Saccharomyces cerevisiae S288C: one gene and its partners. Changing the gene in region 1 together with any one later gene gives a genetic interaction. Each region holds a gene or a part of one and is shown on either strand. Other genes may lie near its edges.

Region 1 (3,109 bases):
TTATTTAAGATCACACAGGCAGAAATCAAGGGATTAGAAGCTCCATGGATTTCCCTATCATTAGCTCCGGAAACTTTGACCAAGGGTAACTCGGGTGTCGTGGCATGTGGGTCCAACAATGGTCTTCTGGCAGTAATTAATTGTAACAATGGCGGTGCGATTTTACATTTATCTACAGTGATTGAACTAAAGCCAGAACAAGACGAATTAGATGCCTCCATTGAATCCATTTCTTGGTCATCCAAATTCTCCCTTATGGCCATTGGCCTTGTCTGCGGTGAAATACTCTTATATGATACAAGTGCATGGAGAGTAAGACACAAGTTTGTTCTCGAAGATTCTGTTACAAAACTTATGTTTGATAATGATGACTTATTCGCATCGTGTATCAATGGTAAGGTTTACCAGTTTAATGCAAGAACTGGCCAAGAGAAGTTTGTTTGTGTGGGCCATAATATGGGGGTTCTTGATTTTATATTACTGCATCCTGTGGCAAATACCGGCACCGAGCAGAAGAGAAAAGTAATAACTGCAGGTGATGAAGGTGTATCTCTGGTGTTCGAGGTACCAAACTGATAGATAGTCGCGTATACATAAATAACAAAAAAACAAATTCAATAACATAAAATAAAAATACTTTTACATACAGAAGAAGAAACTTTATATATTCGACAAAGGAAAATGTAAAAAAAAAAAACACATTATTTTAAAAGAACTGCGCTCATTATCGTCGTTAACGATTTTATTATTACATGTTGAACGTTACATTGTCTTTTTGTCCCGATAGGTTGAAAGCTGAAAAAGTATAATGGGTCAGAATCTGACAGTTCCGGTAAGTTCTTTGGGGATCCTTCTCTTAGTCCCGGTACCTTTAATTTGCTCCATGTATCTTTTAGCAGCTGCTCTACCGAAGCGCAGAATCAATTTTCTAAAAAACAACCCACAAGCATTACACAGGCAAGCAGCACCGTTAGGGCCCTCCCTCCATTGTAATGAAGTCTTAATCTCTCCACATTGCCCACATGTCCTAGTAATGCCCGTTCTTGGTCGAGCAGGCTGAGAGTCAGCGTTCCTAGGGAGGCCATGTTGTGCCTCTGATCCGCTATTCAACAGCAATTGAACGGGGACTTTTTTGAAGGCTGTTCCGTTTGAAATCACAATAGGCAACTTAGTGGACATAGCGACCCTGTAATGTTATGTTTCTAGCTAGGAACAGAAAGTGCCAGCTTTTTGAGCAGTTAAAGAGTAAAATGTTTATGTGGTTTCACGGACTTACATGTGAAAGACTAGCCTGGCGCTATCTAAATTCATGATGAAACTCGATGGCCCTTTCCATGGCACAAAAATCTTGACACATGGATGTGCGCGGCGGCGGTAACCGCACCAAGGAAAAAAGGGTCCAATGCCAAGAAATAATAAAACGGACCCTTTTTTCTTTTTTTTTGAAATAAAATTGAAAGAGAAATGCAAACACTTTTCAGGTTTGAAAAGAAAAGAAAACGTCAAGAATCTTACGCCAAAAGTGCCTAAGATTCAAGTATCTCTGAAAGGCGTACCATTTTCAACAAGGGGCATAGGTGGCCGCAAACTAGGATAATTGACAACTTAGTTTCATATTGACAATGTCATCGCAATTGAGGAGATAGCCATAATTCGGGAGGGTACAAAACCTGACCTGCTAGTGTTCAACTAATGCATCATGGGTACTATAGAGAGCATTCTAGTGGTAGAAAAAAAAAAAAAAACAAACTTTAAACCGGGTAATATAAACTTCTCATATGGCTTTTCTCCAGGGAAAGAAAGGGAAGGGATACTTCAATGACGAAGGCTTAGATGACAAGCTAATACAGAAAGGGAAAGGAGCAGGGCATCGGAAGGAAATGTTGCATTTGGAAGATGACAATGGACGACAAAGGTCAGTGATAGCGAATTTGCAGAAATTCGTTTATTGCTGCCTGTACTTGAGGTTTATCAAAGATGGATCATTATTCTTGATCCTCCTGGGGTGGATAATTTCATCGCTCTGTGATTTCATTCAGGAATTGACACTCAGGTACCTGAAGAAGAACTATTTAGAGGTGGGCCGCGACAATGATCAGGAAGATGATGAAAGTCTTGCCATCAGAGGGTTAGAAACACCTATTGTAAGAATGATAATAAACAAAGCCATACGATATTACCAAGGCCTAATACTTCTAGAAACAGCGTACTGTATAGTATACCACATTAGGCTAGACGTATCGAGAGACATATGTTCCAAACCGTACGGATTTGTGATAATGCTTTTGATAAGGGAATTTACTTGTCCGGTACCCACAGCGTTTCCTAGCAAGCTACTTCTGGTACTACTCGATATTTTATTACTTTTCTGCCAGATTGTAATAATAAACGGCTCACTGAGCTCGAGTCTTCAGAACGTGAAACTTATTGTCAAGGAGTTGAATGCAGAAGAAGAGGGCGCACTCAACATTCTCAAACTTAATACCTGGCACATGGATGCAACCGGACCGGAACTCATAGTACTCAAGAATCATGACAAGTCGATTCCTCAACAGGCAGACGGGGATGACGCTACAGAGATCACTCCTCTACTGAATATCGCCGAATAAATTCAAGAAAGGAAAAGAAAAAAAATTACCAAAATGAAAAGAACGGAAAAAAAAGATGAACAGAAAATAAAACAATACGTGGTTCTTCTACTGTCCTTCCCACATCGCCGACAGAGAAAAGACAAGCAAAAAGATGGGCAAGAAAGCACACGGAGGAAAGATGAAACCTGAGATCGACGAAAATGGTACTCTGCTAGTACCGCCACCAAGGACGATTGCGAACCAGGACCATTTCCATAGATTAAACTACCTCTACCAAATATCCGCTTACCAAACAAGAGCAAGACAGAAAGCAAGAACAGACGCACATACGCCTTTGGCACGCAATTATATCAAATCAATGGACCTAATTAGTAAGAAAACCAAGACATCACTGCTTCCTACGATAAAGAGAACAATTTGTAAAAAATGCCATCGGTTGTTATGGACCCCAAAAAAACTGGAAATCACATCCGACGGAGCGCTTTCGGTAATGTGTGGGTGCGGTACCGTTAAACGTT
Region 2 (3,916 bases), on another chromosome or scaffold:
GGTTAGTACACATCGTTGTGGCCGATGAAACCCTGGTTCGATTCTAGGAGATGGCATTTTCTTTTTTACCTGTCTTATTTTAGACAGGTTGACGTGATTGACTAAATGATTTGGCCAACTTGTTTATAAAAGGGTTCAAAGCCAAAGGAAGACGTGACCATTCTTAACAGTGCAACGAAAGACAGCCTCAATATAGAGTTAGACAAAATAATAATATAGTAATTTAACATAGTTTAATATAAAAATAAGTAAAAAAATAATAATACTAATAATAATAGTAATGATAATAGTAATAAAAGAAAATAAAGAAAAATTGCATTTCGTTAATAATAATAGTGTAGACTTATCATTTTTCCACTAATTCAAATCCTTCACATCTTATTATTATCTCCTTTTTTTTATATTTTTTTTATGTTTCTTATGCTTTTTCGCGGTTTGTTGCACTAAAGGGAATTATTTGTGTATATGACGAGTGATGATTGCATCTTCCTTTGTTTTCTTGATGTTTCTTTCGTATTCTTCGCTTAAAGAATTGACTAAAAGTTTTCTACGTTTATGTTTCTTGTATTTTTCTTCTACTACTCTTCTTGTTAATAAGTATTTTCCTTTTTAAACTTTGATTTAGGACGTGAATCTATTTATTTTTTCTTTCTACCCCCAGCTTGCCTTGGTAGACTTTTTTGGGCTGGCTTTAAAATTTGAAAAGAACATAATAAACTTTCATCAACACTCATCATTGCACCAGCGTTATCAAATTCACCACAATAATTCGGAGCACTGAAAAGTGTCACCAATTGTCTTTTACTAAAGAATTCATAACCATCTTCCACAACTTGATGGGCCCTGCAAATCAACTCCATATCTTGTTTCTGTAAAAATCTGTTCACTACATCAGGACCAAAAGTGAAAGAAACACCTCTATCATTTTCACTCCAACCTACGATATCTTTATCTGGATCTGACCACAATAAGTCACATAATAAGCCAACGTCGGGAATATCTGTTGGCCTCATCACCCTTCTGATCTGTTCCATACTATTCAAATCTGGTGAGAGACCACCATGCATACAGAAGATTTTCTCATCAATAATTGCAGCAATTGGTAAACAATTGAAACAATCCGTGAAAGTTTTCCAAAGTTTGATATTATAACGTCTCTTACATTCATCATAAAACCCGTAAATTCTATTAATGGAAGCACATTCATGGTTCCCTCTTAAAATGAAAAAGTTTTCTGGATACTTAATTTTGTAAGCCAGTAATAGACAAATAGTCTCTAAGGATTGTTTACCACGGTCGACATAATCACCCAAAAATAGATAATTAGATTCTGGCGGGAATCCACCGTACTCAAATAGACGTAGTAAATCATAGTATTGCCCATGAATGTCACCACATATCTAAAAAAAAAAAAAATAGAAAAAAATAAGTTAGTAAATGAATTTGTCACTAAATCTAGCTCATTCCGTTGACTTTAAGAGAACAATTACTGCTGTCAAAAACGCTTCATTTCTCCCAATGCCTTCTGCAAATCCACATTTCTTGGTTTTCGTCCGACCTTTCTCTCGGGCTCAAAAAAAAAAAAGATTCGTTTTCTTCATAACGAAAAAATGCCTTCTTTTTTTAGTGTGAGCAAGGGGGATTTTTCTGAATATGGGAGGCGCCGGCCGGATGATGATACAAAACATAAGGAAATCTTGGTAAAAAAATGCCTAATAAGATAGAAAAATGAAGAGCTAAACACACACATTATCTCGGCTATCTCGACATATGAGTAGGCTAACATCAGATGCTTGGTAAATTCTTTCAGTCAAACGGAAATAACTGCTGTAACTATCTTACTGCCGCAACAGGAGTAGAACACATAAAACACCTGAAGCTCTAGGCATTCTATCTCTTGACTGCGAAGTTCAACATTAACATACTTTAATTGGGGCTTCTAACTCTAGTAAAATGGGTTGCTTTATGAATATAGATCTGGCTTTCGAACATAAGTATCTGATTTCATTTTCTTCTAGATCAACTTGTTGACCAGGTTTAGATCCTCTTACTTCCAATAATCTATCGATGATATTATCAACGTCAACTGGTTGTGAGTCCATTTCTTTAATTTGAATGTATATTGTGGTAATCTGCTTTCCTCTCCCCAGTTACTCGTTCGTTCACCTCTTATTTTTTTTTTCAGTTGTGGTGTTAACTTGTGTTACGTTGTTTTTTTCTTCTTCTTTTCTACTTTTGATTTTTTTTTCCCTCTCTTGTTCCTTGAAACGAACGCTAAAAGAAAAAACAGCAAGAGCAAGAAAAAAAATGGGGGAAGAGCGAATAAGCAATGATTGTTATCTACATAAGGGGTAATTTGGCTAGTTTCTAACTGTCATCCCCATGCAGCCTGTCAAAGACTGATATATGCAGTCAAGAAATAAAAAACAAATTGCAATAAGCTCTCCACTATAGATGGCACAAAAACAGGTTAATAACAAGTAGTTATTACATTCCTCAACGAGATGAGCCAACAAGCAACCAATAGTGCACCTACTTGTCTAACTTTAATTGAGGTTGTGCTCACAAGAAATGTTTTGCCAGGTATCTACCTCAATTGAATAACAACCGCAAAAGCTTTAGTACTAAATTGTCTCTCACCTTGTCTTCAAGAAAAGGGGAAGGTAGATGAGAGAGAAGTCTTGCAATTTTTCTCAACCTTTCAACTCGAATGGAAATCAGGTTGTAAGGGAAGCAATGAAATGTCAGCAAACAGCCACTGACTGTAATTCTTTTGTTGGAGTAAAAATCAACTATCATCTACTAACTAGTATTTACGTTACTAGTATATTATCATATACGGTGTTAGAAGATGACGCAAATGATGAGAAATAGTCATCTAAATTAGTGGAAGCTGAAACGCAAGGATTGATAATGTAATAGGATCAATGAATATTAACATATAAAATGATGATAATAATATTTATAGAATTGTGTAGAATTGCAGATTCCCTTTTATGGATTCCTAAATCCTCGAGGAGAACTTCTAGTACTTTCTACATACCTAATATTATTGCCTTATTAAAAATGGAATCCCAACAATTATCTCAAAATTCACCCACTCTTCATCTTTGAAAAGATAATGTATGATTATGCTTTCACTCATATTTATACAGAAACTTGATGTTTTCTTTCGAGTATATACAAGGTGATTACATGTACGTTTGAAGTACAACTCTAGATTTTGTAGTGCCCTCTTGGGCTAGCGGTAAAGGTGCGCATTTTTTCACACCCTACAATGTTCTGTTCAAAAGATTTTGGTCAAACGCTGTAGAAGTGAAAGTTGGTGCGCATGTTTCGGCGTTCGAAACTTCTCCGCAGTGAAAGATAAATGATCTACTATGATGAATGACATTAGCGTGAACAATCTCTGATACAAAATCGAAAGATTTTAGGATTAGAAAAACTTATGTTGCCTTCCTTCTGAAATTTATTTTTTGTCACTATTGTTATGTAAAATGCCACCTCTGACAGTATGGAACGCAAACTTCTGTCTAGTGGATAACAGAATTTTTCTATGGCCAATTTATTCTTTTTTTTTTCCCTTTTCTTAATGTGCGTATCATTGCCGGGTTTGAAATTTCGAAATTAACTACTAAAAATTACCGCTTTAATGTATGGAATATGTGTATCTTGCTAGTTTTGCGTTGCCCTCGCGATATCCCTATACGCCCACAGTGCAAACACAGTAGAGCTTTGTGATAATACTCGCAAGGAATACAGTACATCAAAAACTTATTACACAGGCTTTCCAGTGCACTCACACCCACTTTACTGTTTTTTCTGCTTTTTTTCTGCTTTTTTTTCTTTTTCTTTTTTTCATCTTACTTACTTGAGCCTAGATAATAGAAGATAGTAAGTTTGGCAGAGCCCAGTC
Region 3 (3,577 bases), on another chromosome or scaffold:
CGCGGGAATCTGTGTATATTACTGCATCTAGATATATGTTATCTTATCTTGGCGCGTACATTTAATTTTCAACGTATTCTATAAGAAATTGCGGGAGTTTTTTTCATGTAGATGATACTGACTGCACGCAAATATAGGCATGATTTATAGGCATGATTTGATGGCTGTACCGATAGGAACGCTAAGAGTAACTTCAGAATCGTTATCCTGGCGGAAAAAATTCATTTGTAAACTTTAAAAAAAAAAGCCAATATCCCCAAAATTATTAAGAGCGCCTCCATTATTAACTAAAATTTCACTCAGCATCCACAATGTATCAGGTATCTACTACAGATATTACATGTGGCGAAAAAGACAAGAACAATGCAATAGCGCATCAAGAAAAAACACAAAGCTTTCAATCAATGAATCGAAAATGTCATTAAAATAGTATATAAATTGAAACTAAGTCATAAAGCTATAAAAAGAAAATTTATTTAAATGCAAGATTTAAAGTAAATTCACTTAAGCCTTGGCAACGTGTTCAACCAAGTCGACAACTCTGGTAGAGTAACCGTATTCGTTGTCGTACCAGGAGACCAACTTGACGAACTTTGGAGACAATTGGATACCAGCGGAAGCATCGAAGATGGAAGAGTGAGAGTCACCCAAGAAGTCAGAGGAGACAACAGCGTCTTCGGTGTAACCCAAAACACCCTTCAACTTACCTTCAGCGGCAGCCTTAACAACCTTCTTGATTTCATCGTAGGTGGTTTCCTTGTTCAACTTGACAGTCAAGTCAACAACGGAGACATCGACGGTTGGGACTCTGAAAGCCATACCGGTCAACTTACCTTGCAATTCTGGCAAGACCTTACCGACAGCCTTAGCAGCACCGGTGGAGGATGGGATGATGTTACCGGAAGCGGTTCTACCACCTCTCCAGTCCTTGTGGGATGGACCGTCAACAGTCTTTTGAGTAGCAGTCAAAGAGTGGACAGTGGTCATCAAACCTTCTTCAATACCGAAAGCATCGTTGATAACCTTGGCCAATGGAGCCAAACAGTTGGTGGTACAAGAAGCGTTGGAAACAATCTTCAAGTCAGAAGTGTATTTTTCTTCGTTAACACCCATGACGAACATTGGGGCGGTGGAAGATGGAGCAGTGATAACAACCTTCTTGGCACCAGCGTCAATGTGCTTTTGAGCAGTGTCTAATTCCTTGAAAACACCAGTGGAGTCAATGGCGATGTCAACGTTGGAAGAACCCCATGGCAAGTTAGCTGGGTCTCTTTCTTGGTAAGTAGCAATCTTCTTACCATCGACAATGATGTGCTTGTCATCGTGGGAAACTTCACCAGCGTATCTACCGTGAGTGGAGTCGTACTTGAACATGTAAGCAGCGTAGTCGTTGGTGATGAATGGGTCGTTCAAAGCAACAACTTCGACGTTTGGTCTAGACAAAGCAATTCTCATGACCAATCTACCGATTCTACCGAAACCGTTAATAGCAACTCTAACCATTTTGTTTGTTTATGTGTGTTTATTCGAAACTAAGTTCTTGGTGTTTTAAAACTAAAAAAAAGACTAACTATAAAAGTAGAATTTAAGAAGTTTAAGAAATAGATTTACAGAATTACAATCAATACCTACCGTCTTTATATACTTATTAGTCAAGTAGGGGAATAATTTCAGGGAACTGGTTTCAACCTTTTTTTTCAGCTTTTTCCAAATCAGAGAGAGCAGAAGGTAATAGAAGGTGTAAGAAAATGAGATAGATACATGCGTGGGTCAATTGCCTTGTGTCATCATTTACTCCAGGCAGGTTGCATCACTCCATTGAGGTTGTGCCCGTTTTTTGCCTGTTTGTGCCCCTGTTCTCTGTAGTTGCGCTAAGAGAATGGACCTATGAACTGATGGTTGGTGAAGAAAACAATATTTTGGTGCTGGGATTCTTTTTTTTTCTGGATGCCAGCTTAAAAAGCGGGCTCCATTATATTTAGTGGATGCCAGGAATAAACTGTTCACCCAGACACCTACGATGTTATATATTCTGTGTAACCCGCCCCCTATTTTGGGCATGTACGGGTTACAGCAGAATTAAAAGGCTAATTTTTTGACTAAATAAAGTTAGGAAAATCACTACTATTAATTATTTACGTATTCTTTGAAATGGCAGTATTGATAATGATAAACTCGAACTGAAAAAGCGTGTTTTTTATTCAAAATGATTCTAACTCCCTTACGTAATCAAGGAATCTTTTTGCCTTGGCCTCCGCGTCATTAAACTTCTTGTTGTTGACGCTAACATTCAACGCTAGTATATATTCGTTTTTTTCAGGTAAGTTCTTTTCAACGGGTCTTACTGATGAGGCAGTCGCGTCTGAACCTGTTAAGAGGTCAAATATGTCTTCTTGACCGTACGTGTCTTGCATGTTATTAGCTTTGGGAATTTGCATCAAGTCATAGGAAAATTTAAATCTTGGCTCTCTTGGGCTCAAGGTGACAAGGTCCTCGAAAATAGGGTCAAAGTATTTCGAATTTGTGTCCATTAGTGGTGTTCCGTGTGAGAACTGGTAAGCTTCTTTCATGAAAGAGTTCAATGATTCACTCAGTTTGTCAAACGGAATAGAGGCGGGAGCATGGAACACTAATTGCTCTTCAAATTCTACAGGAGTAATCTTTGGCTTGTCGGCAGCTTTTGTTTGAGCTTGCTCGGCTATTTTTGGTTTGAGCTGTATAGGTTTAATGTTCGATAAATCGAGACGTTCGTTCTTCTTGATAAATTCTGTTACCTTGTTAACCGAATCTTGTGGTATTTTCCCTAGGTATGCTAGCACATCACCCTTTAATAGTCTACCGTTGGAACCAGATGGCGCAATTTCCTTCAAAGCCTTTTGTTTGGATATATTGTTCTCAGCCAGTAGTAATGACACGGATGGTAATAGCGTCTGTTCAAGATTGGCTTGGCTGCCGTCAACGGTTTTTATTGGTGTAACTGTGGCTTTTTTTAAATGTTGTTGTGTTGCTTCAGTACTATCTGCGGATGGCTTCTTAATTTCAATAGATTTCGCATTTGCGGTGTTGGCCTCTTGGGGTAACTTTATAGTAGCTAAATCATCATCAACATCAGCAATATAAGCAATAGGTTCACCAACATCAACATCTTTAGAGCCTTCATCTTTCAGGATCTTAGCTAGTTTACCATCGTCCAGTGCTTCCACATCAATTTGAGATTTATCTGTTTCCACTTCTAATATCACATCGCCCGCGCTGAATGGTTCGCCAACTTTATATTTCCAAGACACAATCCCCCCTTTCTCCATAGTAGGAGACATTGCAGGCATTGAAAATGTCTTTACAGCAAGTAATTTAGCTGATGCATGATAGTTGCATTTGGTTAAATATCTTGTACATGATTTTAAAGTGGAGACTTTGGAAATTGCACTTAGCATTTTTGAATTTTTCCCTCGAGATGATTTAACAATAACCTAGCTCTTTCAATGCTCTCTTATATTCTCACTGGAAAGCGCTAATTTGATTTGTCTCTCTCGTTGCTGGTCGCTCACCCTTTCATAAATTGTTTTTTACTCTTCAT

What was found.
Region 2: mutations in VLD1 (region 1) and GLC7 are lethal when combined (synthetic lethality), as found in Saccharomyces cerevisiae (one study listed by BioGRID).
Region 3: of VLD1 (region 1) and TDH3, changing one enhances a phenotype caused by changing the other (phenotypic enhancement), as found in Saccharomyces cerevisiae (2 studies listed by BioGRID).

The regions. Positions count from the first base shown.
Region 1 is NC_001141.2:379,206-382,314, forward strand, and holds VLD1 (Vld1p), read left to right. Parts: upstream 1-1,880; coding exon 1,881-2,609; downstream 2,610-3,109. Other genes in the region: SQT1 (Sqt1p), read left to right, coding at 1-576; GAT4 (Gat4p), read right to left, coding at 814-1,179; ribonuclease P protein subunit RPR2, read left to right, coding at 2,743-3,109. UniProt on the Saccharomyces cerevisiae protein: Component of the vacuole-localized DSC E3 ubiquitin ligase complex involved in the targeting of the complex to the vacuole membrane via the AP3 pathway to ubiquinate vacuolar membrane proteins.
Region 2 is NC_001137.3:430,681-434,596, reverse strand, and holds GLC7 (type 1 serine/threonine-protein phosphatase catalytic subunit GLC7), read right to left. Parts: upstream 2,103-3,916; coding exon 1,926-2,102; intron 1,401-1,925; coding exon 639-1,400; downstream 1-638.
Region 3 is NC_001139.9:882,308-885,884, forward strand, and holds TDH3 (glyceraldehyde-3-phosphate dehydrogenase (phosphorylating) TDH3), read right to left. Parts: upstream 1,504-3,577; coding exon 505-1,503; downstream 1-504. Other genes in the region: PDX1 (Pdx1p), read right to left, coding at 2,202-3,434. UniProt on the Saccharomyces cerevisiae protein: Glyceraldehyde-3-phosphate dehydrogenase (GAPDH) involved in glycolysis and gluconeogenesis. Catalyzes the reaction of glyceraldehyde-3-phosphate to 1,3 bis-phosphoglycerate.